3 linked regions of the Bombyx mori genome follow. The protein of the gene in region 3 purifies or fractionates together with the protein of the main gene of each other region. This does not show direct contact. Links are inferred from orthologs where the notes say so. Each region holds a gene or a part of one and is shown on either strand. Other genes may lie near its edges.

Evidence for each region.
Region 1: the proteins of coiled-coil domain-containing protein 97 (region 3) and 14 kDa subunit splicing factor 3b purify together in Homo sapiens (affinity purification with mass spectrometry; 3 studies listed by BioGRID and IntAct, counting the BioPlex papers as one, with this or other methods). This does not show direct contact. The link is inferred for Bombyx mori from reciprocal best matches to the Homo sapiens genes CCDC97 and SF3B6.
Region 2: the proteins of coiled-coil domain-containing protein 97 (region 3) and splicing factor 3B subunit 5 purify together in Homo sapiens (affinity purification with mass spectrometry; 3 studies listed by BioGRID and IntAct, counting the BioPlex papers as one, with this or other methods). This does not show direct contact. The link is inferred for Bombyx mori from reciprocal best matches to the Homo sapiens genes CCDC97 and SF3B5.

Annotation. Positions count from the first base shown.
Region 1 is NC_085111.1:9,666,015-9,675,567, forward strand, and holds the start of 14 kDa subunit splicing factor 3b, read right to left. Parts: upstream 4,640-9,553; 5' UTR 4,567-4,639; coding exon 4,537-4,566; intron 4,438-4,536; coding exon 4,319-4,437; intron 1-4,318.
Region 2 is NC_085126.1:5,962,700-5,970,385, forward strand, and holds splicing factor 3B subunit 5, read right to left. Parts: upstream 4,139-7,686; 5' UTR 3,979-4,138; intron 3,874-3,978; 5' UTR 3,868-3,873; coding exon 3,610-3,867; 3' UTR 3,531-3,609; downstream 1-3,530. Other genes in the region: uncharacterized protein LOC101736097, read left to right, coding at 5,578-5,724, 6,515-6,820, 7,430-7,546. UniProt on the Homo sapiens protein: Component of the 17S U2 SnRNP complex of the spliceosome, a large ribonucleoprotein complex that removes introns from transcribed pre-mRNAs.
Region 3 is NC_085118.1:10,064,145-10,072,403, reverse strand, and holds coiled-coil domain-containing protein 97, read right to left. Parts: upstream 5,077-8,259; 5' UTR 4,995-5,076; coding exon 3,951-4,994; 3' UTR 3,882-3,950; downstream 1-3,881. Other genes in the region: ATP-binding cassette sub-family C member 10, read left to right, coding at 7,069-7,680, 7,763-7,880, 7,961-8,119. UniProt on the Homo sapiens protein: May play a role pre-mRNA splicing through the association with the splicing factor SF3B complex which is involved in branch-site recognition.

The sequences.
Region 1 (9,553 bases), on a different chromosome or scaffold from region 3:
GACTTACTTATTCTTAATTTAAATAGCCAGACAAATTTTACTATGATATTTTTGGTCATTTAATAGAAATTATTGATAAAAGAGTTCCAGTCTTTCACAACTAAATATTTTAAATCTCATTATCTATTGCTTAGATTTTAAAATGAGCTCAGAATCCACCTGGTGGAAAATGGTTAACACAGCCCAAAGTCAACAATCTGAATGCTGCTACACACCAGACATAAGCTTGAAAAGTTAGTTGTTAAAACTAGCAATTTTACCATTCAAAGTACAATCTGTTCAGAAAAATATGCAGGATGCTTTCTGCCTGTTAAGGCTTACAATTCCACCAGTAATTATGAATATTTATAAATTTTGCAGGTTTCCTTTTTATATAAAATGTTATTCTTTCATCATTGAATTTATTTCATTAACAAGTATGAAATATGTATTTCCTTACAAAAAGTAGTAAGTGTCTGCAGTATTCAAAGACCAATTTGAATGTTTCACTTGATAGAAGGTACATCATGTGCTTTATCAATAGAGAGGGTTCAATAATAGTGTATTTCATAAAATGAGTTTTCATAGCTTTACAAGTTTACAACTAAAAAAATTCTAGCAATTTGTCTAAGTATAATTACATAGAGCCTATGCTCACAAGCAAATTTCACAATTCACTATTAACATACTGTGATAAAAGAAAATAAAATAAATATGCTTTATTGCTGTGAGCTCTCACAAGTAGAAACTACCAATGGTATCTGAATCTAAACATCAGATAATTATACATTCTGATTTTATACAATAGAATTGAGTATTCGACTCGACAAACTTCGACTACGACAAATGGGGGAATTTTCTTTAGTGCTATCAACGTAAATCTATTGTGTGTTGTGTTATGCATCTGTATGGTTATATACGACTATTTCCTGTCCATTTCTGCATCAAATCACTCATAAAATATGTTTTGAAAAGTATCACAGGAGATTACTCCAGTTCTACAGGGACTTTGACCTAAGACCTACGGTGTTAAAGGAATGCCCTGTGAGTAGAGGAGCTTCATTAACCGCTTGATATCCTGTCGTCAGTGGACTTATTTAGAGAGAGAGAGAGAGAGAATACACTTTATTGCACACCAACACAATTTACATTTTAAAAAAACAAACAGTCAAAAAGCACATATGTACAATAGGCGGTCTTATCGCTAAAAGCGATCTCTTCCAGACAACCGTTTAATTTACAGAAATTCTGTAAAATATAAAAAATATAGCAGGTGCGGTGTACCATATACAATACATTATTATAGAAAATATATACATATAATAAACAGATATATACCGTTTACATAATATAATATATACCAATATACATACTTACATACAATACATACTAATATATTTACACACACTTATTAAATCAACAGTATGGAAATTATAAATGATAATGATGCAACAAACAGCACTAAGCAGTTATGTAGTGTTCCTTCACCATTCTTTTAAAACAGTTTAAAGTTGGAGCACTTCTCACTGCATCCGGCAGAGCATTCCACAATCGAACCGCCTGGACGGTGAATGAATTGTCAAAGAATGATGATGAATGCACCGGCATTTTCAGTCTCAGGTTATCTGATGATCTCAGAGAAAAATTATGCGTATCACCTAGGAACTCGAAACGTTCTTTGAGATATGTAGGGGTATGGGGGTTAAAGAGAGTACAGTATAGTAATGAAAGGACATGAGTATTGCGGCGAAGGCGAATTGGTAACCACTTGAGCTTAGTGCGAAATTCAGATATATGATCATATTTCCGTAACCCAAATATGAATCTTATGCAGAAATTTTGTAGCCGCTCAAGTTTATCAAGTTGTGTTTCGGTTAGATCCGGATAGCTGGAATCAGCGTAGTCAAGAATTGGAAGAAGTAAAGACTGTGCAAGCGCAGTTTTAGTGGCAGTTGGAAGAAAATTTCGTAACCGTCTCAACGATCCAGCTGATGCAAACACCTTCCGGCTAACCTCTTTTATTTGTGCGTTCCATGAAAGGTTTTTATCAATTAAGATACCCAAATTTTTCACAGTATCGCTGATAGGAATTTGTGCGCCGTCAAATAAAATAGCCGGAAGCTGCGACCATGTAACTTTCGAACACATTCTTGAACTACCGACAACAATGACCTGTGTCTTTGACGGGTTCACCCTCAATCCATGAGACTTACTCCAACGGGACAATATCGATAAGTCATTGTTCAGGATCTTTATCGCGTTGGTCAGCTCTGGTAAAGAAGATTGCGTATATATCTGTAGATCATCTGCGTACAGGTGGTAGGAAGAAGTAAGTTGTAAAGAAATAGAATTTATAAAAATTTAAAAGAGTAAAGGAGATAAAACGCCACCCTGCGGTACACCTACGTGCGTTTCACACCATGAAGAATAAGCATTCTCACAGTGAATACGCTGTCGGCGACCAGACAGGTAACTGCGAAACCAATCAACCACGGTTGGAGATATGTTAATGGAGCTAAGGATGGCTAGAAGTATGTCGAAATCGACGGTGCCAAAAGCATTACTGAAATCCAGCAATGCCAACACCGTCAGTTTCCCACTCTCCATGCCAAATCTGATGGCATCCGTAATATGCACCAGGGCTGTGACCGTGCTATGGCCAGGACGAAAGCCGGACTGATAAGGGTTTAAAAGCTCGTTTCTCGTAAGAAACTCACTGAGCTGGTTGTGAATCAGGCGTTCTAAAACCTTTGAAAGAAACGGTAGAATGGAAATTGGACGGTATTCTGAAAAGGATGTAGGATTCGGCTTTTTTGGCAGTGGTGTAATCTGTGCTTCTTTCCAAGCCTTTGGAAAGATGCCGCTAGATAATGATTCATTCAGGATATGACAAATAATGGGAAGGATTTGGTCTAGGATAGGAAGGATCATATTACGGGCCACACAGTCACTTCCAACAGCATTGGAAGTTATGGATAATATGCTCCGCTTAACATCACAAGCCGTTAGGTGATTAAAAACAAATGGAGAACAATTTGGGATCGGAAGAGATAAAATGTGATTTAATGTATTAGATTTAATTGTCCCGTCATAAAGGGATGACGCACAGAAATGTTGATTTAATAAATCAATACTCGAATGTGATAGATGAAAGTCATGTTGTAATTTTCCAATCCCCAGTGATTTAAGAAATTTCCAGACTCTAGCTGGATCACCATTTTCGATAGCACTATGGATATGCTGGCGTTGTGCATCCCTACACACTCTGTTGCAGTGATTGCGGATTCGGTGATAATTTGTACTATTGTCAGAGGTTGGTTTTTTTTTATATTTTAATTTAGCAGCTGCCTTCCTGGTCAATAGACTTTTAATTTCATCAGTAAGCCACGGCGCTGGCATATGTTTAATTCTTACTGGTCGGAAGGGTGCGTACTTGTCATATAGATCAGTTAGCTTGGCATTGAACTGATCAACTTTCTCATTGATTGAGGTAGAGCACGTCAAAGCAGTCCAGTCAATGCTGCCAGCATCTTCTCGAAGACTTTCAAGATCCATACCATTAAAACTGCGCAGCAGAAGAGTTTTTGATTTTGCTTTGGGAGGTCGTACTTTATATGAAACGAAGATAAGATCATGGTATGAGAAAGCGTCAGCTGAACACTGTCCATGGTCAGCCACGTGGTCACGAGAAGAAACGAAAATAAGATCAAGAAGTGAAGGAGCACAGTTTGGAAAATGATGAGTCGAGTTCAACGGTAGAACAGTTAAGTTTACTGATTCGATCATCGAGCGAAATAAAGTGGTTCGAGAATTGTTTTTAAGTAGGCATGTGTTAAAGTCACCCATGATAATGGTATGAGTATATGAAGGCATTGTATTTTCTAGCAGAGTTTCAAAAGAAGTAAAGAAATCTATACTTGACGAAGGACAATAATAAACACCAAGTAACATCTTCGTGTGTTGAAGTTCTATTTCAAGAAATAAGTGCTCGCCCGCATATGGCGGCGTAGGCTGTGCCGATACATTAACAACTGCACAATTAAAATACGAACGGATATAAATGGCAACGCCACCACCACCGCCATTAATACGATCGTTCCTAAAAAGTTGAAAACCAGGAATGGTATAAGATGTAGAAGGAAGACATGGCTTAAGCCAAGACTCTGAAACAAGTATAGCATGGATATTCTTAGAATCAAAACTTGCAAGCATGTCAGGGAAATGAGCCGCAATACTCTGGGCATTGATATGAACGACATTAAAATTCCTAGGAACACCTAGGAACACCAGATTTAGCTACGTAGGATCTACGTTAAACAATTAGTAAAGACAAACTTACACTCTTATTTGTCTTATTGCGCCATATTTGCCGAAGATATCATACATTTCTTCAGCGGATATTTTGTAGGGCAAGTTCCTGATGTATAGGATTCTGTTGACTTCTGGAGGTAATCGTACCTGAAATATACTTAACATGTAACTTTCCAATATTTACTGTGATCTACCTAACCAAACATTTGTCAAAGCGTTGTCTTCAATTAACTTTTCAATACTTACATTTGCTCTTCTTTGAAGTGCTAATGCCATTTTGGTGTGGATGAATTATTTTTACAGTTTGTTAAACATGAAAATAGATAGTTGTATGATTTTTTAGGTATGTTTATCAAACTCAAACATAAATGTAAATACCTACCTACTATGTTTATAAATTTTTTTAAAGGTTTTTGTGACCTGGTAACAAGGACCTTTAGGTCATGTCTTATTTTAATATATATTCCATATTTTTTATGAAAAATGAAAATATGAACTGAAATGAAATGAAGTTGATTAATATGAAACATGGCATGAAATGAAGTGGACTGGAACGAGATGAGATGATAAGGTATGAAATATAATTGTGGCGGGTAGCCATCATACAACGCAAGATAATTGACAGATGCCTGAATCTCGCTTACGACATTTTCAAGATAAAGCGCATATATACAAGTTCCGAACAACAACATTCGGACCGTCGGTCTACCGAGCAATATCACCCGCTCGGTGGAAGATCTTCCCTTTGTCGTATATCTCTACAAACTGGTGACCCCGACGTGATCGGTCTACCGAGCAATATCACCCGCTCGGTGGAAGATCTTCCTTTCGTCGTTTAAGCTTCCTACAACTGGTGACCTGCGACGGAACAATCGCAACCTTCTCATTCATCATCAGCGCATCAAGAACTTCGGTTACCACAATCCCCGCATTCTCGCAGATAAAAGCAAGTCATCTACAGTCGTCCCACAGCAAGCCAGCATCGCAGCCTCAACAGGACCATCGCAGCCGACTCACCACGCTTCCTGGCCCTACGGCACGCACCTACACTGCCTCATCGCGCAGCATTTTCAAGCTCAGTCTCGACTCACCGCAGACTTCGAGCAGCACTGGCGACAATCACGCAGCATTCAAGCTCAGTTTCGACTCACCGCAAACTTCGAGCAGCACTGGCACTTGCAAGCTAATCTCAGCACGGACAACGATAACTAAATATGACACGATCTCCAGTCTCGGAGGGGAGTGATGTGGCGGGTAGCCATCATACAACGCAAGATAATTGATCGATGCCTGAATCTCGCTTACGATATTTTCAAGATAAAGCGCATATATACAAGTTCCGAACAACAACATTCGAACCGTCGGTCTACCGATCAATATCACCCGCTCGGTGGAAGATCTTCCCTTTGTCGTATATCTCTACATAATCTCAGTAAAATGGTGGTCATTTACTGAGACTTTTTCAGTGGATTTTTTGGAAGATCCCGAGAAGTTACCTTCAGCGGCTTTATTTGATTTTTCCACATTTGTGCACTTTCACAGATACTAAACAGTAAATAAACCACCCTTATTACGCATGTAAGCCTGAAGAAACACTAATAGAAAAAATAAAACAAATCACACAAGTTTACTCCTCGCGCTCCCGCCAAAAAGTCATACTTATATTTTATTAAGAGATTTTATGACCTGGTAACTAAGACCTTTAAGTCATGTCTTATTTTAATTTTATTTTTTATTTTTATGAACAATGTTAATATGGAATGAAATGATATTAAATGAAATGAGATGATATGGGGTGAAATATAATCTCAGTAAAATGGTGGTCATTTACTGAGATTTTTTCAGTGGACTTTTGGAGGATCCCGAGAAGTTACGTCCAGCGGTTTTGTTTAATTTTCACATTATACATTATAATAGAATATAATGTATAATTTATTTCATATTACATTATAATAGATGTAAAAGGCGTAAAATTAAATAACGTTTAAGCAAAATTATAGGAATTCACTAAGATTTCAATGGACTTTTTGGAACAACCCATGAATTCAAGTCTATCGACTTGTTCCACTTTATAGCACAAGTTTCACGAATATACACTTTCACAATACACACTTTTACGAATACTAAATAGATGATTAGCAAATTTCTGAAAACCTGCCTTTCAAACTTCTTCGTTATTTCTATTTACTTTTATCCAAAACATTGTGTTGCTGTCCCATATACTTAGTCTGGCCATAAATACTGTTACAATTAAAAATAAAAAAAAATCTATTGCATTTACTACTTTTACAGTGTGTTAGTTTAATACATAAATAGAAAACAATTTAAAGTATAAAAAGCTTATTCGAAGTGGTCTCCATTGGCTGCAATACAGTCCTTTAAACGTTGAGGCCAGTTATCAATAGAAGCACGCACTCTTTCCATGGGAAAAATTTTCACTGCCAATCGTACGGATTGTTTTAGGGACTCCAAATTATCATGGCGTTTAGAGCAAGCCGTACTCTCTAAAACTGACCATAAATCATAATCCAGCGGATTAAGATCGGGACTAGACGACGGCCAGTCTTCGGCTCTGATGACAAAATTTCTAATTTTTAAAACTAGATTAAGTCGAACTATTTTATTTTGTATTACACCATTTAGAAAAAGCGGTATTTATGACAAGTGTTTTTACTATAGGCAAATCAATTATCAATATAATTGATCTATGTATTTTCTTCTTTTTTTTTATTGCCCTTGTAGACAGACGAGCATACGGCCCACCTGATGGTGAGTGGTTACCGTTACCCATGGACTTCAGCTATGCCAGGGGCAGAGCCAAGCCCCTGCCTACCGCTTAATACTCTCCACAAGCCTGGTTTGAAGAAGGACATGTCATAGCGCTCGGGAAACACCGTGGAGGAGAGCTCATTCCATAGCCGTGTACGTGTATAGTACGTGGCAAGAAAGACCTCCGGAAACGCACTGTCGATGAACGCAGCGGTTCCAGATAATATGGATGAACTCTGCTCCGATGGCGGGAGGTGCGATGATAAAAAGGTGACGAGGGGATCATCTCAAGCAATTTTGTTTTGTCAACATTGCATTTTTTCATAATTTAGTTTATTCCCTTAATTTTTAAAACTATCCGATTTTAGTGTCGCAATATATTCCAAAAAAATAATCTAGTAACTGCTACTTTAATTTTAAAGAACTCATACGCAGTTCGCGGTATATAGTATAGGTACTATATGCCGCAAACTGCAAAATTATACTGTATACTACACTTAACTAGGCAGTTACTCTTTGCCTTTATTTTTATTGCCTTTGTAGATAGACGAGCATACGGTCCACCTGTAATTCCATTCCGATAGAGGCACCCGTCACGCGCGGACGTGCTCATCGACCACTCGATCGCCCGGCCTTTGTTCGCCCGGCTTTTGTTAGCCCGGCCATTGTTCGCGCGGCCTGTGTTCGTGGCACATCTGCCGACTAAGTGCTCTTCCTGGAAGTTTTTATTTGTTTTGTTTCCTTTTGTTATTTCTGTGTTCGTGGTACATCTGCCCACAAACTGTCTTCCTGGAAGTGTTTAATTGTTTTGTTTCTTTTTGTTATTTCCGTTTTGTTGTGATTTTTCTTTGTCCTGCAGTAATCGTGCCGCATCGCCACCTGTGTTCAATAGAACCGCTCAGGTCCGAGAAGTTGGGGCCTCGCCGCAAGGCGAGTGTTTTCTAAGACCCAGGGTAGCCCCACCTGGGCACGTAGACATCATGGACGCTGTATTTGCGGAGTTTCTCCGGCTTCGCTACCCAAAGCTCACTTCCGAGTTTCAGGCCTTCAAGGCCGATCACACTGCGAGCCCTCTCGTGGACTCCACCGAGCTCGCTGCTCCTGCGTCGCCTGTACCTGCGTGCAAAGCTTCTGCATCGAGCACCGCAGCCTCCGTCGTGCCTGCCGTTCCCGCGTCGCCTATACTGGCGAGTAAAACTGCTGCGTCGTCCGCCGTGGTCACCGTTCCAGCAGCGCGATCATCCGCGGCCTCCGTCGCGCCGTCCAAAACACCTACTCGTAGGTCACCTGCGCCCGCCTCCTCGTCCTCCGACTCTGACTCGGAGATGGAGGTCGACCTCGCTCCCGCCTCATCGACGGATGGATTCACCCTGGTGCAAAAGGGTAAGAAGCGTGCCGCGGAGTCTCGAGCTCCCGCGGCCGCTAAAATTAGCAAAGCCGCGAACGCGTCGCGCCCCCGCCCTCAGACTCCCGTTGCGCCTCCAGCCCGTGCCACTCCGTCGCCGCGTCCGGTGGCACAAAATAAAGCCCAGACCCCTCCCCCGGTAATCCTTCAAGAGAAGGCAGCTTGGGAACGAGTTTCCCTGGCCCTTAAGGCCAAAAATATTAATTTTACGAATGCCCGTAACCTCGCGAACGGCATTCAAATTAAGGTTCGAACATCCGACGACCATAGGGCCCTCTCTTCTTACCTCCGTAAGGAGCGTATAAGTTTCCACACATATACGCTCCAGGAGGAGCGCGAACTCCGTGCCGTTATACGTGGCATCCCTAAAGAGTTGGATGCCGAGCTCGTCAAGGCCGACCTTCTCGAACAAGGCCTACCGATTAACTCCGTACACCGCATGCACACAGGCCGCGGAAGGGAGCCATATAATATGGTTCTCGTCGCCCTCCAGCCTACCCCCGAGGGTAAGCAAATATTCAACATCCGAACGGTCTGTAGCCTTTCCGGAATCGCAGTCGAAACCCCACACAAGAAAGGCACACCTAGCCAGTGCCATAACTGCCAATTATACGGGCATTCTTCCCGTAACTGTCACGCGCGCCCCCGATGCGTCAAGTGCTTAGGCGATCACGCCACGGCCCTATGCACTCGCGATCAAAAAACCGCGACAGAACCGCCTAGCTGCGTCCTGTGTCGAACACAGGGTCACCCCGCAAATTACCGCGGATGCCCCCGAGCCCCGAAAATAAATCGCCGCGTCGCCCGCCAAAACCGCCTCCGAGCTTCCGGCCCAGACATCAAAGCCTCGGCACCCTCTGTGTCGCAGGCTAAGCCAGCGTTCGTTCCGGCGCCGGTGCCCAGTGTCTCGGCCTGGGCGAAACCGCTGCCGTACATGAACACGGCTACAACTCCCTCCTCCGTGATTCGTCCCGCCCCCGCGACTCGTCCCTCTCCCGCGACTTGCCCTCCGACCGCGTCCGACAATCTCGCTTTAGCGATCGACTTCTTTCAGTCGATCAACTTTGAGCGCGTTAACGCTTTGGGCGA
Region 2 (7,686 bases), on a different chromosome or scaffold from region 3:
TTTTCATTTCATTTCATTTTATATCATGTTTCATATTGATCAACTTCATTTCATTTCATAATAGGTATAATATTTCTTATATAAAAAATATATAAAAGATTAGGTCGCATGGTATAATACCTTTGCATTTCCAGATGGAAAAACAAACTACTTATTTATTGAGGTTATGTTGTGACATTATAAATTAGTATCAAACAAGTAAATAATCATGCCGCTAGATTTTCGAAGATTTAATGGTCCAGAAGATAGTGTATCATATAAAATATATACTAAAGACTACTTGAAAACATACGACGAACAATTAAAAGATCTGTATGATGAAAACGGGAAAAGAAAAGATGGACGTGAGCTAAATGAAGCTCGCAGCATGTGTATGTTTTGTATGTGTTAGTTTCATGTTTGGTTTAGTGTTTTTCAACAATTGAATCGTTGTTTCTTTTTGGGACGCTTGCATCGCTAGCTTCGGTCTCTTGATAACACAACTGGAAATAGCTCCATTACAAGATATTGAATATTAATGTATTATCTCACGAATCAATTATTTGTTTTCAAGAATATTTCCAAAACATTCTTGCAGCTTGCAGCAATACTACTTTTCTTATTTTCGTTTTAGTGAAAATTTACAAATAATTTTGTAAACTTTTCAGTTTCCACATAATAATATATCAAATCTACTTTTTTTTTTAGTTGCCAGAACTGACATGGTTTCACAAGCAAAGGGTTCAGCATATGTGGAGTTAAGGAAAACTAAAGTTGTATGCTCTGTATTTGATCCTAGGGAGATACCACATCAAAATGAATTCCGGTATGTAGAATTATGTATAGAAATTAAATAAATAATTTCTATTAGAGCTAATGTATGTTCTTTCACCTTAACTTCACATAGATACTTCATTTAACAATATTTCAGCTATATATATAAAAAGCTTACATTTAGGCATTTAAATGAAATTATTCTTCTTCCCCACAGATTAAACTAATTGAACATGAGCTTTAAAAAATACATTGGGCCACCATATACTATATCTATAATAGCTTTAAATAAATCCTAATCCTAATGCCATATAATAAATCTTTTTTTATTCTTTTGTTTCCATTTTTAACTTTCAGTCAGCTTGGCCAGTTATATTGTGAAGTGAAATTTGCACCGTTTTCATGCCCGAGGAAACGTCGACCATATGTTCCTGATGTAGAAGAGAAAGCCTTGTCTGTTGCTTTACGGCAGGCTCTTGAACCGGCTGTCTGTAGGCACTTCTTCCCAAACTATCAGGTAAAATAATAATTCCGTTATATCCAAAGCAATAAGGGACTGCAATTTTCAGGACAATACTATCTAGTCTTTCAAAAAATAAAATACTAAAACCTCATTGATGATCAGTCACAGTTAAGTGACAATAATTTCTTCTTCGTCGCTGAAGATTGTGTCCCTGAAACTTGATCGTGGCCTGTGTCGTGAGCTGTTTCCATCTCGTCTGGCTCTCAACAATTTGTTACAAGAGGATCCTCAGCTACTTCGGTCATATTGCCCACCGACAGTCATATAACTTGGACAAAGTGATTGTGACGGGCAGAGTAAATGGAAAGAGACCCCACGACCGATTACCTAACCATTGGTGTGATCAAATAACCTCCCTAACTGGGCTGCCAGTCGCAACCGCCATTCGAGAAGCTGAGGACAATAATATAAGCACTTAACATAATATATTCCATCAACTTATGCCACAACTTAAAACATAATTGAAAATATGAATTTAGAGTTTTTTGAAAGAGAATAGTGTTGTTACAGTTTCTCCAAAGCTCATATTTTTGTCTGTTGTAATATAGACTACTTTTACTAACTAGTTAAATTTTTTTTAAGTATTATTGTTAATTCATCATTAATTTATATTCCATCCAATGTACTCATAATGATTGACTGTAAAAATGAAATAATTCATTTCTTCATTTTCTTACTATTTTAGATTGATGTTTTAATATACATCTTAGAACATGACGGGTCATGTTTAGCAGCTGCTATCAATGCAGCAGGACTTGCTCTAGCTAATGCCGCCGTTCCAATGTTTGATATAATCACATCATGCTCTGTAGCAGTCATAGGCAACAAAATGTTCATTGACCCCACTGAAATAGAAGAACATATAGCAAAGAACAGCACAGAAGTAAACCACGGAATTATAACAATGTCAGTGTTATCACAGTTAAAACAGATTTCAGATTTCACACAAATCGGTTCTATGGATGTTGAGTGTGTCACAAAAGTAATGGAAGTTTTATTAAAAGAATGTGAAATAATAGTTCCGAATATACAAAGAGTTCTAGTTGTGGATGTTGTAAAGAATTTTGAATTGAAAAAACACTTAGAAGCAGAAACAAAGAAACGGGAAGAGATTTTGAAAAAGAAAATGGACGAATGGAGATCTTTATTAAATGGTCAATGAATACTAATTTGCATTTTACTTGGCTTCCCCTTTGAAAGATGAATGTATTTCCTAAATTTTACAGTTTTGGTGGTTCATTGTAATGTAACCTATTTAACAATTTTAGACATACATAATAAAAATATCAAAAAGAAGCTTTCAATATTTTAATAAGCATATGCATGATTAAAATACTCCCAGGTTATTTAAAGAATCTCTTAAATTACTTTATATTTAAACTACAGTCAAAACCGTTTACTGCGACATCGTTTAGAACAACATGCCGGTTATAACAACCTAGAACAAAGGTCCCGGCTGAATGCCATATGACCGCCTTATTAAAAATATTGCTTTCTACGACATTGGTAATAACGACATACCTCATAAAACGACCACATTTAACTAATATTTTGGAGAATTAGATCTGTTAGAACGACCGGCTAAGCTATATTGTAAACAATTTGAATAGGTATCCACATTTGTCTTCAATGGCTATTAAAATCAGGAAAGAAAACAATAGGATTTAGTTTAGTGTAGGGTCTTTTCTAATTCTTAGAAACAAAACACGTGCATGCAGTAGAGTCAAAGACCGCTTCTTCATATCTCTTCAGTTAGTTTATTACTTATCTATACATAAAACGCACCAAAACTTTGTGGAGTTATTCGTGAAACTTTGAAAATGTCGCAAAGAAAAAGAAAACAAATTAATATTGAAGAAAAATCACGTATTTTGTAAATATATTTTTCCAATAATTCCCTATCGATTTGTTTGTACTTGCACGATACACATTAAACATTACCGGTTGTTACGACTATCGGTTTTTACGACTGAATATGAGCAGTCCCTTCGATGTCGTTATAACAGATTTTGACTGTATATATATAAGGCTAAATGGAAATCAAAACTGATTTCTTTGAGATAAAACAATATGAAACAAGTTTGTATATAAAAATAAGATTGTCAAACATTTGACCATTGAACCAATTCTAAACTATAAACTATACCTGTTATTAAAATTTGTAGTTTTTATTGATAATAGTTGAGTTTTTGGTGGTACTATTTGAATAGACTAATTGTGTTTGTTAAAGGTTATAGAAATGAAAACAAACTGCTCGAATTTATGTCATGATAAGGGATTCAAAGTCAAATAATAAGTAAATTAGCTTAATTCTATTTTTAAAATCGAAGCGTTTAATCTTCAGGCTTTTCTGGCGGTGGGCCGCATGGTTGAAGCATTCGTTCCATCAAATTGAATTTTACGCGCGCTTTAGATTCATTTTCTACGATCGCAAAGTAACTCAACAAATCCGGATGACCCATGTAACTGCAGCAAGAGTCGCGATGTTGGTTCATAAGCCATTCATATTTTGTAGTGTCGGCGTGGCCTGTGCCTATATATTTGCTCTGTAGATGTTCAAGTTGACTGTGAATGTTGTATCTTTCACCCATTTTATTCTGTAAATTATTTTAAGGTTATAGTTCGAGTTAGTAATGTCATTAATGTAAAATTAAATGGTTATAAAATAAATAAAACGTTTCTAATAAAATATACACACTTACTTTAAAGGCAAGATGCTTGTTGAAATCGTATAGACTCTAAAGTTTATATTCTAATTCAGCTAATATTGATATCACGTAGCAGCCCAAAACAAAGAGTATTCATAGACAATACATAAATTGCAGTGCAGATTACTGCAGACACGGCGTATCTAAACCATAGATACAATACTTAACGTTGAAATCTAAACACCAAAGGTTGTGCACAGTTTTTTTTATTATTTCTTTCACTGCATCTTTCACAGTAAGTTCTTAGATCTGTTTACATATCATCTGGTTTTGAAATAAGCTTTCATCTTTTAACGAAGCTTGGGAAGAGCCCCGGCAGTGGAATTAGTCTTAGTCTATGCTTCTGACGTTGACGTTCATCAGAGACGATCGCCACTTATTATTAAGTGGGACAGATACTCGTTTGCCGATAATGCTGACCAAAACAGTTGAGTACAGCTGTGTTGTCACATTTTCCTATACTTGTGGACTTTTAGAGATACTAAACGGTTACAATTTTTCATTAATAGCACGTTTCAACAAACAAAAAAACAGTAAGTTAACAAAATTAACTATTAACTACACTTCTACAGCTCACGCAACAAAGTTATTAAAGCAAAGAGGTTAATAAAAGATAAAATAAAAAGTAAAAAAAGGTAAAGGAAGGATAGAAGTCGTCGTGGTCTAACGGATAGGACGTCCAGTGCATTCGTGTTGAGCGATGCACCGGTGTTCGAATCTCAGGAGGGTACCAATTTTTCTAATGAAATACATACTAAACAAATGTTCACGATTGACTTCCACGGTGAAGGAATAACATCGTGTAATAAAAATGAACCCCGCAAAATTATATTTTGCGTAATTACTGGTGGCAGGACCTCTTGTGAGTCCGCGCGGGTGGGGACCACCACCCTGCCTATTTCTGCCGTGAAGCAGTAATGCGTTTCGGTTTGAAGGGTGGGGCAGCCGTTGTAACTAAACTTGAGACCTTAGAACTTACTATATCTCAAGGTGGGTGGCGCATTTACGTTGTGGATGTCTATGGGCTCCAGTAACCACTTAACACCAGGTGGGCTGTGAGCTCGTCCACCCACCAAAGCAATAAAAAAAAACCCGTGAGATATACATAATTACAACCACGCTAGATCAGCTGCATCTATCATGGAATCTTAAGCTCATCATCATCATCATCATCATCATCAACAGCCCACAGTCGTCCACTGCTGGACATAAGCCTCTCCCAATCCACACCACTGAGCCCGGTCTGCGGTTCTCCTCATCCACTTATCTTAAGCTCACAGGTATTTTAATTAAGTGTATTTTCTATGCTCACAGTTACATATCAACTTAGAGTACTTACAAAGTACACTCTAGGGTACGTTGATATCGTCGTATTTCTAAACTCTTTGGTATGTTGTTATGTTGATTAATTGATCAATTTAAAACCAGTTGCCATAGAAAATACACTACCGTGTTTATTCAATATTTTTGATAAACTTAATAACCAGAAGCCAGTCATTACTGAGAGAGTTGTTTTTATCAAGATATACATTTCGTAATTCTGTTCGCCTTTAAATATTCTCTATTCAGAATTATTGTTATTTCTGACAAGTTATGAGCAAATTACCGAAAGAAACAGAGCTTAAAGAAAGTGAAAAAAATATTCGCAAACAAGCAAAGCAAATTGTAGAGCGAAAATATTCAAATGTTTTCAAAAGACCAACACATTTATTCATGCACGAAAAAAACATCTCCAATATCGTAAGTATTTCTTGATTTTCTGCCCTGTGTTTGTGTTTTTATGTGCATAGTGCCATGAGTGATAGGTATTAAATAAGACAATAATAATAATTGGGACTGATTGTTCACGGCAGGAATAGGTAGATTGATTATACCTACAAATGTGGGTTTCGAATATACCGAATAATCCATGCAATGAGTAAGTTTTTTTATTTTTTTATTGCTTAGATGGGTGGACGAGCTCACAGCCCATCTGGTGTTAAGTGGTTACTGGAGCCCATAGACATCCACGACGTAAATGCGCCACCCACCTTGAGATATAAGTTCTAAGGTCTCAGGTATAGTTACAACGGCTGCCCCACCCTTCAAACCGAAACGCATTACTGCTTCACGGCAGAAATAGGTAGGGTGGTGGTACCCACCCGCGCGGACTCACAAGAGGTCCTACCATCAGTAAGTAAGTAAGTAAGTTTTGTAAGTTAATTATTTTTTCGGAGTCAAATTTTATTATGACATGTTATTTCTTCTTTTTCGAATTTCTTTGCGGCATATGTTCTTAAAGTAAAATCTATTCTCGGAAAAAAAATTCGCCTTGCAAAATTAAAACTACAACATTCGAATTCGACGGGCAGAGTACCGAACATATTCTTTGAGAGACGATGCTTTTTCGTGACTAAAATTTTAGAAATTAGCTGATATATAACACCTCTAGTGTCACAGGCATATTATTTACTAATAAACAGCTCAACTTGTAGTACATACTCATTTCAATGATTTCACGTTAAAATCGATAACATTACCTACTTTTTAGCCCGAACCAAAACATCCAAGTAACATAATCTACGCTTATTATCACAACAATAAAATTGAAAAAATTGAAAACATCGAACTCTTATACAATCTGACGCATTTACATCTACAATGTAACAGAATAAGCAAAATTGAAGGCTTACAGTGCCTTTATAAATTAAAAAAATTGTATTTAGGCAACAATCGGATTAATGTTGTTGAGAATTTGGAGAATTTAAAATATTTAGAAGAACTACACGTTGAGAAGCAAAATCCAGAAGGATTTGATGGATTGTGTTTCGATCCGAGGACTACTTTATCTATTGGCGTATGTATTAAAATTATAAAATAACAAACAATATTTAAGCCTTGGTAGCAGGAACGAAATTCAACAGATTTGAATTTTTCTAAATTGCCGCGTACGATATGCATGTAAAACTTGACTGATGAGATCTTCATTAGCGTGTTTATATTCATTACGTCATTCGGGGCCAAAATAGAGAACTAACCATCTTAAACAAATGTCAGCCACATTTGAAATCATACGTTGTTTTTGCTGTTTAGCTCGACCTGAAAAAAGTTTGATAAATTGTTCCTAGATAGTAATAAAGAGATTTGGATACACAGATTCTCACATTGTGCGGCCCTTCGACTTGGTATAGGTTAGAAGTTGGTATTTATGTTATACGGTATTTCTTTACACGCAGTACATGCCAATGATCCGACTACATATTTAGGCTTTTCTAAATACGAAAAATTAATAAACAGAGAAATGAATCGAAGATTGACTGACCAAGGGAGCTTTCGCGCAACCATCATAAAAACATTTTTTATTTATCATTCGGGCTTGAATTTACTTGTGAAACGTATTTCTCAAAATTATGAGCATTACTCACAAATAATTTAATGTTTTTAATTTTACCATATTTTTTTGTAGGCTTCTCTAAAGGTTTTAAATGTATCAGAGAATAAATTAACCGACGTAGCGTGGGTGAAGCCACTGCGACGTCTCGAGGTGCTGATCGCTAAAAACAACAAACTCGATGATGTTAAAGTAAGTACGCTTGATTTCCTTATGTAGTTTTAAGGATGTTGTTGAAGTATTCGATTTTATCCTCTTCTATCAATATTACGTTAATTAAGAATACTTTTACAACCCAAATGCTATTCTACTTTATTAAAGCATTTACACCA
Region 3 (8,259 bases):
GAGGGCGCGAGTCCTTTTAAGAAATCAGATCATCTCGGACTTCGCCGTTGCGAGACGCCGTAAGGCACGCATAGAAGTCGTCGTGGCCTAACCGATAAGACATCTGGTGCATTGGTATCTTGCGATGCACCGGTGTCCGAATCCCGCAGGTGGGTAACAATTTTTCTAATGACATAAGTACTTAGCAAATGTTCACGATTCACTTCCACGGTGAAGGAATAACTTCATGTAATAAAAATCAAACCCGCAAAATTATAATTTGCGTAATTACTGGTGGTAGGACCTCTTATGAGTTCGCACGGGTAGTCACCACCACCCTGTCTATTTTAAGCGTGAAGCAGTAATGCGTTTCGGTTTGAAGGGTGGAACAACCGTTGTAAATATGCGTTCGAAGGTTGAGACCTTTGAACGCATATATCGAAGTGGGTGGCGGCATCTACATCGTAGATGTTAATGGGCCTCGGTAACCACTTAACATCAGGTGGGCTTTGAACTTGTCCATCCACATAAGCAATAAAATTCGGTTTTCCCCGATGTAGGTACATATATTTAATTCTACTGTACGTGTGTAGGTATGTCACTGAACTCCTCCTTAAAGGGCTGGACCGGTTTAGATTCAAATATCAGCCCGGCAGATGACGCTGCAGTCAGTATCTAGGTTATTTATGTATACTGCAACTAAACGGCTGGATTGACTTGAGTGAATTTTTGTGTATGCATCCACAGGACGTCTGTCGGGTACGCTAGTTATAATAGAAGTTAAAGTATGAAATTGCCGTTCTATTGAAATAGGTAGGTACTTCGAATTGACATAGAACCTTCATGGTTTCAGATTTTTGAGTGAAACTTTTTTCAAATGGTACCTATGAGGCTCTTCTTTTAAAAAATGTGCAACATTCGATTATCGACTTTCAGTTGTTTTTCTTATTCAGCTTAGACAAGAAACATGGATACTTCGAAAATACGAGTGGTTTTTGAATACGAATTCCGACGCCGAACTAACGCTGCAGAACAGCTCGCAATATCATTGTTGCGTTTGGAGAGGGGACCGCTAATGAACACCGAACAATAATAGCAAATTTGCAGTGAAACAGTCCCGACTCATGAATCGATCTTCACCATTATTGCTCTATGATAACGCGAGACCTCATACAGCACGAGAAACCGTTTTAACTCTACAGGAACTTTAATTAGCAACCATTAGTCACCCTTCGTGTTCGCCAGACCTTGCTCCTCACGGACTACCATTTTTTTCGTGATTTCGACAATTTTTGACGTGATACAAAGTTTTCTTCCCAGGAGGCAGTACAAAATGCTTTCACACAGTTTGTAGAATCTAGATTACCAGAGGTCTATCGCAAAGGCATAAATTACCTTCCTATTAGATGGCAGCAATGTATAGATAATAATGGTAGATGTTTTGATTAAATAAATATGTTCAATGAAAAAAAAACAATTTTAATTTTTCAGTACAAATTGGCAAATTTCATACTTTAACCCCTAATATTATATAACTTGAATGTTACTATACTATACACGCGTGGACAAGAAAAGAGATAAAACATTTTTTAATGGGGAGTTTAAAGCCCTTCGGCAAAACCTCTATTAACATTCCAGTTACATAATTAAAGCTACTTTTAATGTTAGTCTTGGCTTTTTTGTGTCATTAATAGTCATTATATTATTTCCAACCTTTCAAATACTGTAAGGTTTTCGTGGTCACGGAAGATGATATAATGACAATAAAATAAGCGAGATTAAAGTGTAAAAGTACCTACATTAAATTATATTCGAAAACCGAAGAAAATACTTTTTTTAGTTATAGTTATATTAAAGCATTTATATTGGTCTTATTATGTTGTTCGCATTTTAGTATTTTTAATGCAGACTGGTGTTTTGTTTCATTTAATATTTTATTAAGTTAATGCAACATGAAACGGTGGTCACGCCTTATTACTATCCGTATGATCTACATTACACAGTTAAGGGACAGAACTATATAGTGTATTAGTGTTTGTAGCAGGTAGTGTTAGATTGTTCAGCTATTTCTAAATCATTTCGCGTAGGTATAATGTGAAATTTGCACTTTAAGCGTAGTAGGTATGCATACCACGATCGTGCCAGAAAGAGGAAGTGTCCAACAGCAAACGAAAAGTGACGTTAGTGAAACGCATACCTTGTTTCAAACGATTAATTCGATACGTTTATAGTAAGAAAGTAGTTAATTGTGTAACATTTCTATATTTAATAAAGATATTATGTAACATTTCTATATTTAACGACTAATATTGTGTAACAATTGCATAAATAGATAGCGAACAATATCAAGGCTTCTCCGGATTATTAACATGAAATTATTTTTAATTATCAAATGTGACTTAAACAGGATGTAGAAACGTCCGGAAACAAAAAATGGATGGCAATTTTGGCTGTACCTGACGCGAGATCACTAATAATTTTTTTATTGCTTAGGTTGGACGAGCTCACAGCCCACCTGGTGTTAAGTGGTTACTGGAGCCCATAGACAACTACAACGTATATGCGCCACCCACCTTGAGATATAAGTTCTAAGGTCTCAGTATAGTTACAACGGCTGCTCCACCCTTCAAACCGGAACGCATTACTGCTTCACAGCAGAAACAGGCAGGGCGGTGGTACCTACCCGTGCGGGCTCACAAGAAGTCCTACCACCAGTAAATAAGTGATATATTTTATACTTAAAATTGCATACATACACTTTTTAACTACTTTTTTTAGATTAACGGTTGAAAGTGCTCACTGCCCACCTGGTGTTAAGCTAAAGAAAACCAAATTGTGTAATGACTGTCCCATTCTTCCAGCCGGAACGCTTATCGACGCTCTATTAGTAAAGCAAATTATAATTTTCGCCAGTTTGCTTGTATTGTGGAAAATATTCGTGGATATGTGTCAATATGTATTTCATTAAAAAAATCTTATCATATCTGAATGATATGATAAATTCTTATCCTTTAGGCCCGAACAATTGTTTTTATTGCGCTTATTGACAGATGAGCATATGACTATACGAGGTTTTAAAAAAAACTGTCTTGTGTCATAACATTATATGGGAGCCCACATGTCTTAGATTTTGGCCCTATGATTCATAAATGTTGGAATTAAGTTATTTCATGAGGGAAATATTACAGGCAAAAAAAAAGAGAGCCAATCTGCCATTCAGATCAAACTTACCAGAGCCACGTTAATTTAATTCATTTCTGTGGATGACACACTATTGTCAATGAAATTGTAAAGGTGGGTAGTGGCATTCCCGTTGTAACATCTTTGGATTCCAGTAACCACTCAACACTAGGTGCCCTGCTTCACATGAACACAATAAATATTCCTAACCTATCTTGTTGATCATAAGTACTAGCCATTCCTATGTGCTTCTGCTATTTTACGCAGGCAAGTTGCTGTCAACCAAAAACTCTTACCTAAGCTTACTGCAATGAAAATAAAAATTTTTGTTCAGTACAAATAACAAAGTAATATAAAAAATAGTCTTTATTCAAAATTAAAGACAGACCGATCTGATTTTTTTCTGTATTTTAATACTATCACTTTTTATTGCGAATTATTTTTTTCATTCTAATGCTTGTGACTTCAAAGGTACATCGCTTGGTCACTACCTACTGCTGAGGATTCTTTTCAAACCTCATTTAAAGAAATATATGTTATAGTGCTCAGAAGAGTCCAAAATTGGATGGTACACAACAAAAAAGTATGTGAAAATAGTGTGGATGAGCAGTGTTTTGCATCTTATGAAATAATCTCTCATCTCATTTTTTACTAGTTGAACTTAGACAGAAACTTTAACTGATAATAATGTTGATGGTTTATGAGAAAAGAAAAGACATTGGTTGGGAAATTAACCTAAAGATTATAATTACTTTAATATTATTGAACTTTTCATATTAGTAAACAATCATTTAATTCAGTTGAAACTTCTTAGATATATGCTCCATAAACACATCAAGAGGGTCATCTTTTTCAAGATTATTTATTTTACTTTGACCATATTCCTCTACAAGGTGCATGTGTTCTTCTAAGTTCTCAACATCATTTGTTTCAGAATCAAAATATTTATCTTCTGCATCTTGTGACTCCTGCTCTAAATCATCATACTGCTCATCATTATCAATAGTTTTATAATCAATGTCAATATCATTACCATCTATAAAGCTGCTATACATTTCTTGAAGGAACTCATCATACAATAACTTCTTTTCTGGAGCACTAATAACTCTGTGTTTTCTGTTTTCTGGAATATAGTCAGGTTTCGTATCTGGGGTAGTGAATTCACCCCATTTTCTTTTGTGTTGAAAATTTATGTTTTCATTAGTACTATCATTCAAAGAAAATTCAGAAGCTTCTGGTGTTTCATGAATACCTTCTTCGAGCATTTGCACATTCTTCACCTCTCTCATGTGGTTGTGATCTACAGTTTCCAATATTAAGTTAAGAAAACTGGCGTTTTCAGTTATTCGATCTCTTTCTTTTATTTCTTCATCTGTTAAATATTGCCCAACCAACTGTTCATATAAAAGAGGATTTCTGTACATCATTTGTTTTTCACTAAAATAATCAGTTTTAATCTTCATTTTTTGTAATGCCTTATATCTTCTGTTCTTTATCCTCTTGCGTCTGCTTGTTTCCGAATGATAGTCACTCAAATAGTGCACGTAATTCCTAAATGTTTGATCTTTGGAGCTAGAGATATTTTCAAAGTATTTTATGTGATTAGGAGCTAAATATTTTCCGAATTGCATGAGGAATTCTACAGGTGATCTTTTATAAATTTCAAGGGCCATTTGCAGTTTCTCACATGTCCTTACCGGTTGTTCATTAGCATGGGAATTCTTAAAGGATATATTTGCACTTCTTACTAGGTAGTCAATGATATCAGTTACAGGATTCACTTCACTTTCGTTGAATTTATTTTTTAAATTAATGTTGATTTTTTCCATTGTCATAACAATAAATCTCTAGTAATAATTATTTATGTAGAGCATAATAGTAGTAGTTTGTAGTTTTATTTTTCCAACTGGAAAGGCAAAAGTGTTACACCATAAAGCCAAATCTTAGATATTATATATATAGCACAAGCTATTTAGTATTTGTAACATAATAGGTTGGGAGAAAAGTTTCTTCGCATTTTGTAAGAAAATTCACAACATTTTTTAATATAGGAAAATAGTTTATTTACATTTAACTAAAGTATGCAAGTACCATTTTGTTCGATAACTTTTTGCCATCTTGTAGGTAGAGACATGATCCCATTACTATAGAAAGGACAATGCCCAAAAGTGGGCCAACTTTATGTCAAAACTATTTGTACTTGAAAAACTATGTCTTATTTTTTCACGTTGTTTAGTTTATGTATCAACATTTCTTTCACCCTGGCATTGTTTTACAAAAAAATAAATTACTTATTTGATAACATCCCAAAACTAAGTGCCATGGTTTTTAAATTCGTCAATAGGCAAAGGGTTTAGCCCATACAGCCTTATAGTAAACCTTTTAGTAAAGTATATACTGCCAAACGAAAGAGTTGTCTGTGACTTGAACAATAAATTAAAAAAAATTGCTAATGGTTATAATTCACAGACTTTTAAGTTTATTTTTGTTCAATTCTATATTTATATATTGTAATAATAATTATTACTTAAAACCATGAATTATTTAATATTTTTAGATGTTAATGATTCCATTAGTAAAAATCTCAATGGCCTACCATTACTCTATTCTTATTTTAAATGATCAGAGTTTTGGCAGCAACCCGAGTTAAGCGTCACTTGAAGTTTTATTTTAATGTTTTTTTAATAGTTTATTGTGATGTATAATATATAAATGGGTGTTGTTTTGTGTATTAAATGTCAATAATCGTTGTTCACGATGGTTGGGACATTGGAATAAAACTGTGGCTAACATAACTGTCTTTTTTTCAAGATAAAAGGTCTGCGGAAATTCACGCTCACTCAATGTGCTATTCATCGAGTTGACGTCAAAACTTCCAAAAAGCAATAAAAAGAGATACACCGGCTTTTTAATGACATAAAAAAAATATAACTACGACAGACTAGCGTGTATAAGCCACGCTCTTTGCCTGCTTATTCATACATGCTATAATGCGATAATACTTTTTCCCCAACCTATTAGATAATACTGTCTGTTTTTACTAATCTGTCTTATTTTTTATTTGCTATTATGTTGACTTTTTGGCGGGAAAGCGAGGAGTGAAGCTGTGTGATTTGTTTTATTTTGTCTTTTTAGTGTTTCTTCAGGTTTAAATGTGTAATAACGGTGGTTTATTAGCTGTTTAATATCTGTGAAAGTGCACAAATGTGGGAAAATGAAACAAAGCCGCTGGACATAACTTCTCGGGATCCTCCATAAAGTCCACTGAAAAAAATGTTAGTAAATGACAACCACTTTTCTGAGATTATATTTCATCCTATATCATCTCATTTCATTTCATTTAATTTCATCCCAGTTGATTAATGTCTCAAATTAATAATCTTCATTTCATTTTATTTCACTCGATGTTATCATTTTCATAAAAATAAGAATATAAATTAAAATAAGACTTGACTTAAAGGTCTTAGTTACGAGGTCATAAAATCCCTTTAAAAAAACTACTCCGCTTTCACTGTCATCAGCATAGATTATACACTTAATATGTCATCAGTGTCATCGTTGTTGAATTTTGATTATTTTTGATGATTTATTAATTTTGAACTTTTTAACATCAAATCAATGAGAAGTAAACTAGTGCTTGTTCAAATCAACAAATATTATTCAAAATAAAAGGAAAAAGATAAAAATTAAACAGTAAACTGATAACTTACGATACGTACAGTAGAAATACAATAATTATCAACAATAGAAAGACGAAACATGAAAAATGGTTATTAGTTGCGTGTTTCATTGTGTTTTATTTATAAATCTACAAAGAACATACTTACCCTTTCTAATTAAATAGTAGAATCTTATAACAGTGCCCTTGTGACTTATTGCGGAACATCGTAGAGATAATAGAAGACCAGAATGTCTTTTATATTGAATATAAATTGGAAATGGGAAGATATGTGCGGGCCTGGAGGGCTTCATCCATGGAATGATGCCACGAAAGACTTCAGCGTGTGTTTTCAAGAGCTATTCTTACAAGTACCAGTGTACTTTATAATAGCTATAGTATCAGGGTATTTTGTTGGATATCGAAAAGATTGGGTGATACGAGAAAAAACTCAAGAACGTGCCATAATATTTCGAAGTTTTGTTGTTTTAGGCTTAGCCTTCATACCGATCATAGAAATATATATATTTACTACCAAACCTGACTTCACTCTATATCCAGTAGACTATTTTGCTGCTGGTTCATCCTGTTTAGCATGGCTGGTGCACTTTGGATATGTTTTAGCATTGAAACACCGTCTTGGGCGTAGCTCTCGAGGTCCAGTAATGCAATTATTTTTATGGTGCTGTACAGTTCTTTTAAACCTGATAGCTCTCCGTAGCAACATCATTTCTGGTTCACAAACAGGTTTCAATACAGCTGCATTATGTTGTCACGTACTGTATTTTTTAACTCTGATTCCTTCAAATTACTCACGACCAACATTTTACTCGCCATGCTTAGTAGGCTCCCAACACTCTCATGTAAGTATAAATTTATATCAGTTTTGTGTATTTAGAGTACTGACAAGGCAAATAAATGTATTTTAAATATCTGTTTTAATAGAGCGAGTACACTCCACTGATACCCCATGTAGATGATGATGTTCTTGGTACAGCTATGCAGGGCAACAGCTTTTTTTCAAAGTTGATGTTTACTTGGGTGAACCCTTTGCTACAAAAAGGTAATATATGCATATAATGTTTAGTCTAATTACGAAAATACTTGTGGATTTGATGCCATATTTAAAATATATGTCTAAAGGTCTGGAGAATAAACTAAAAGATCCTGAAGAACTTTTCGACATACCAGCAGAATATCGTAGTTCATATATTGGTGCCAGAATGGATCGAGCATTGGTTGGAAATGTTGATCATCACCAACAATATGCTGATATACCACATGAACCTTTTATAAGCACAGGTACACAAATAAAAACTTTATTGATATTGCAGTTAATTGTTTTGGTCAAGGATGAGGTCAAAACTAGAATATTTTCTGGAAATAATATAATCACATTAGAAATGTTAGATTAAATTTTAAAAGCAGTTCTAATTATGTAT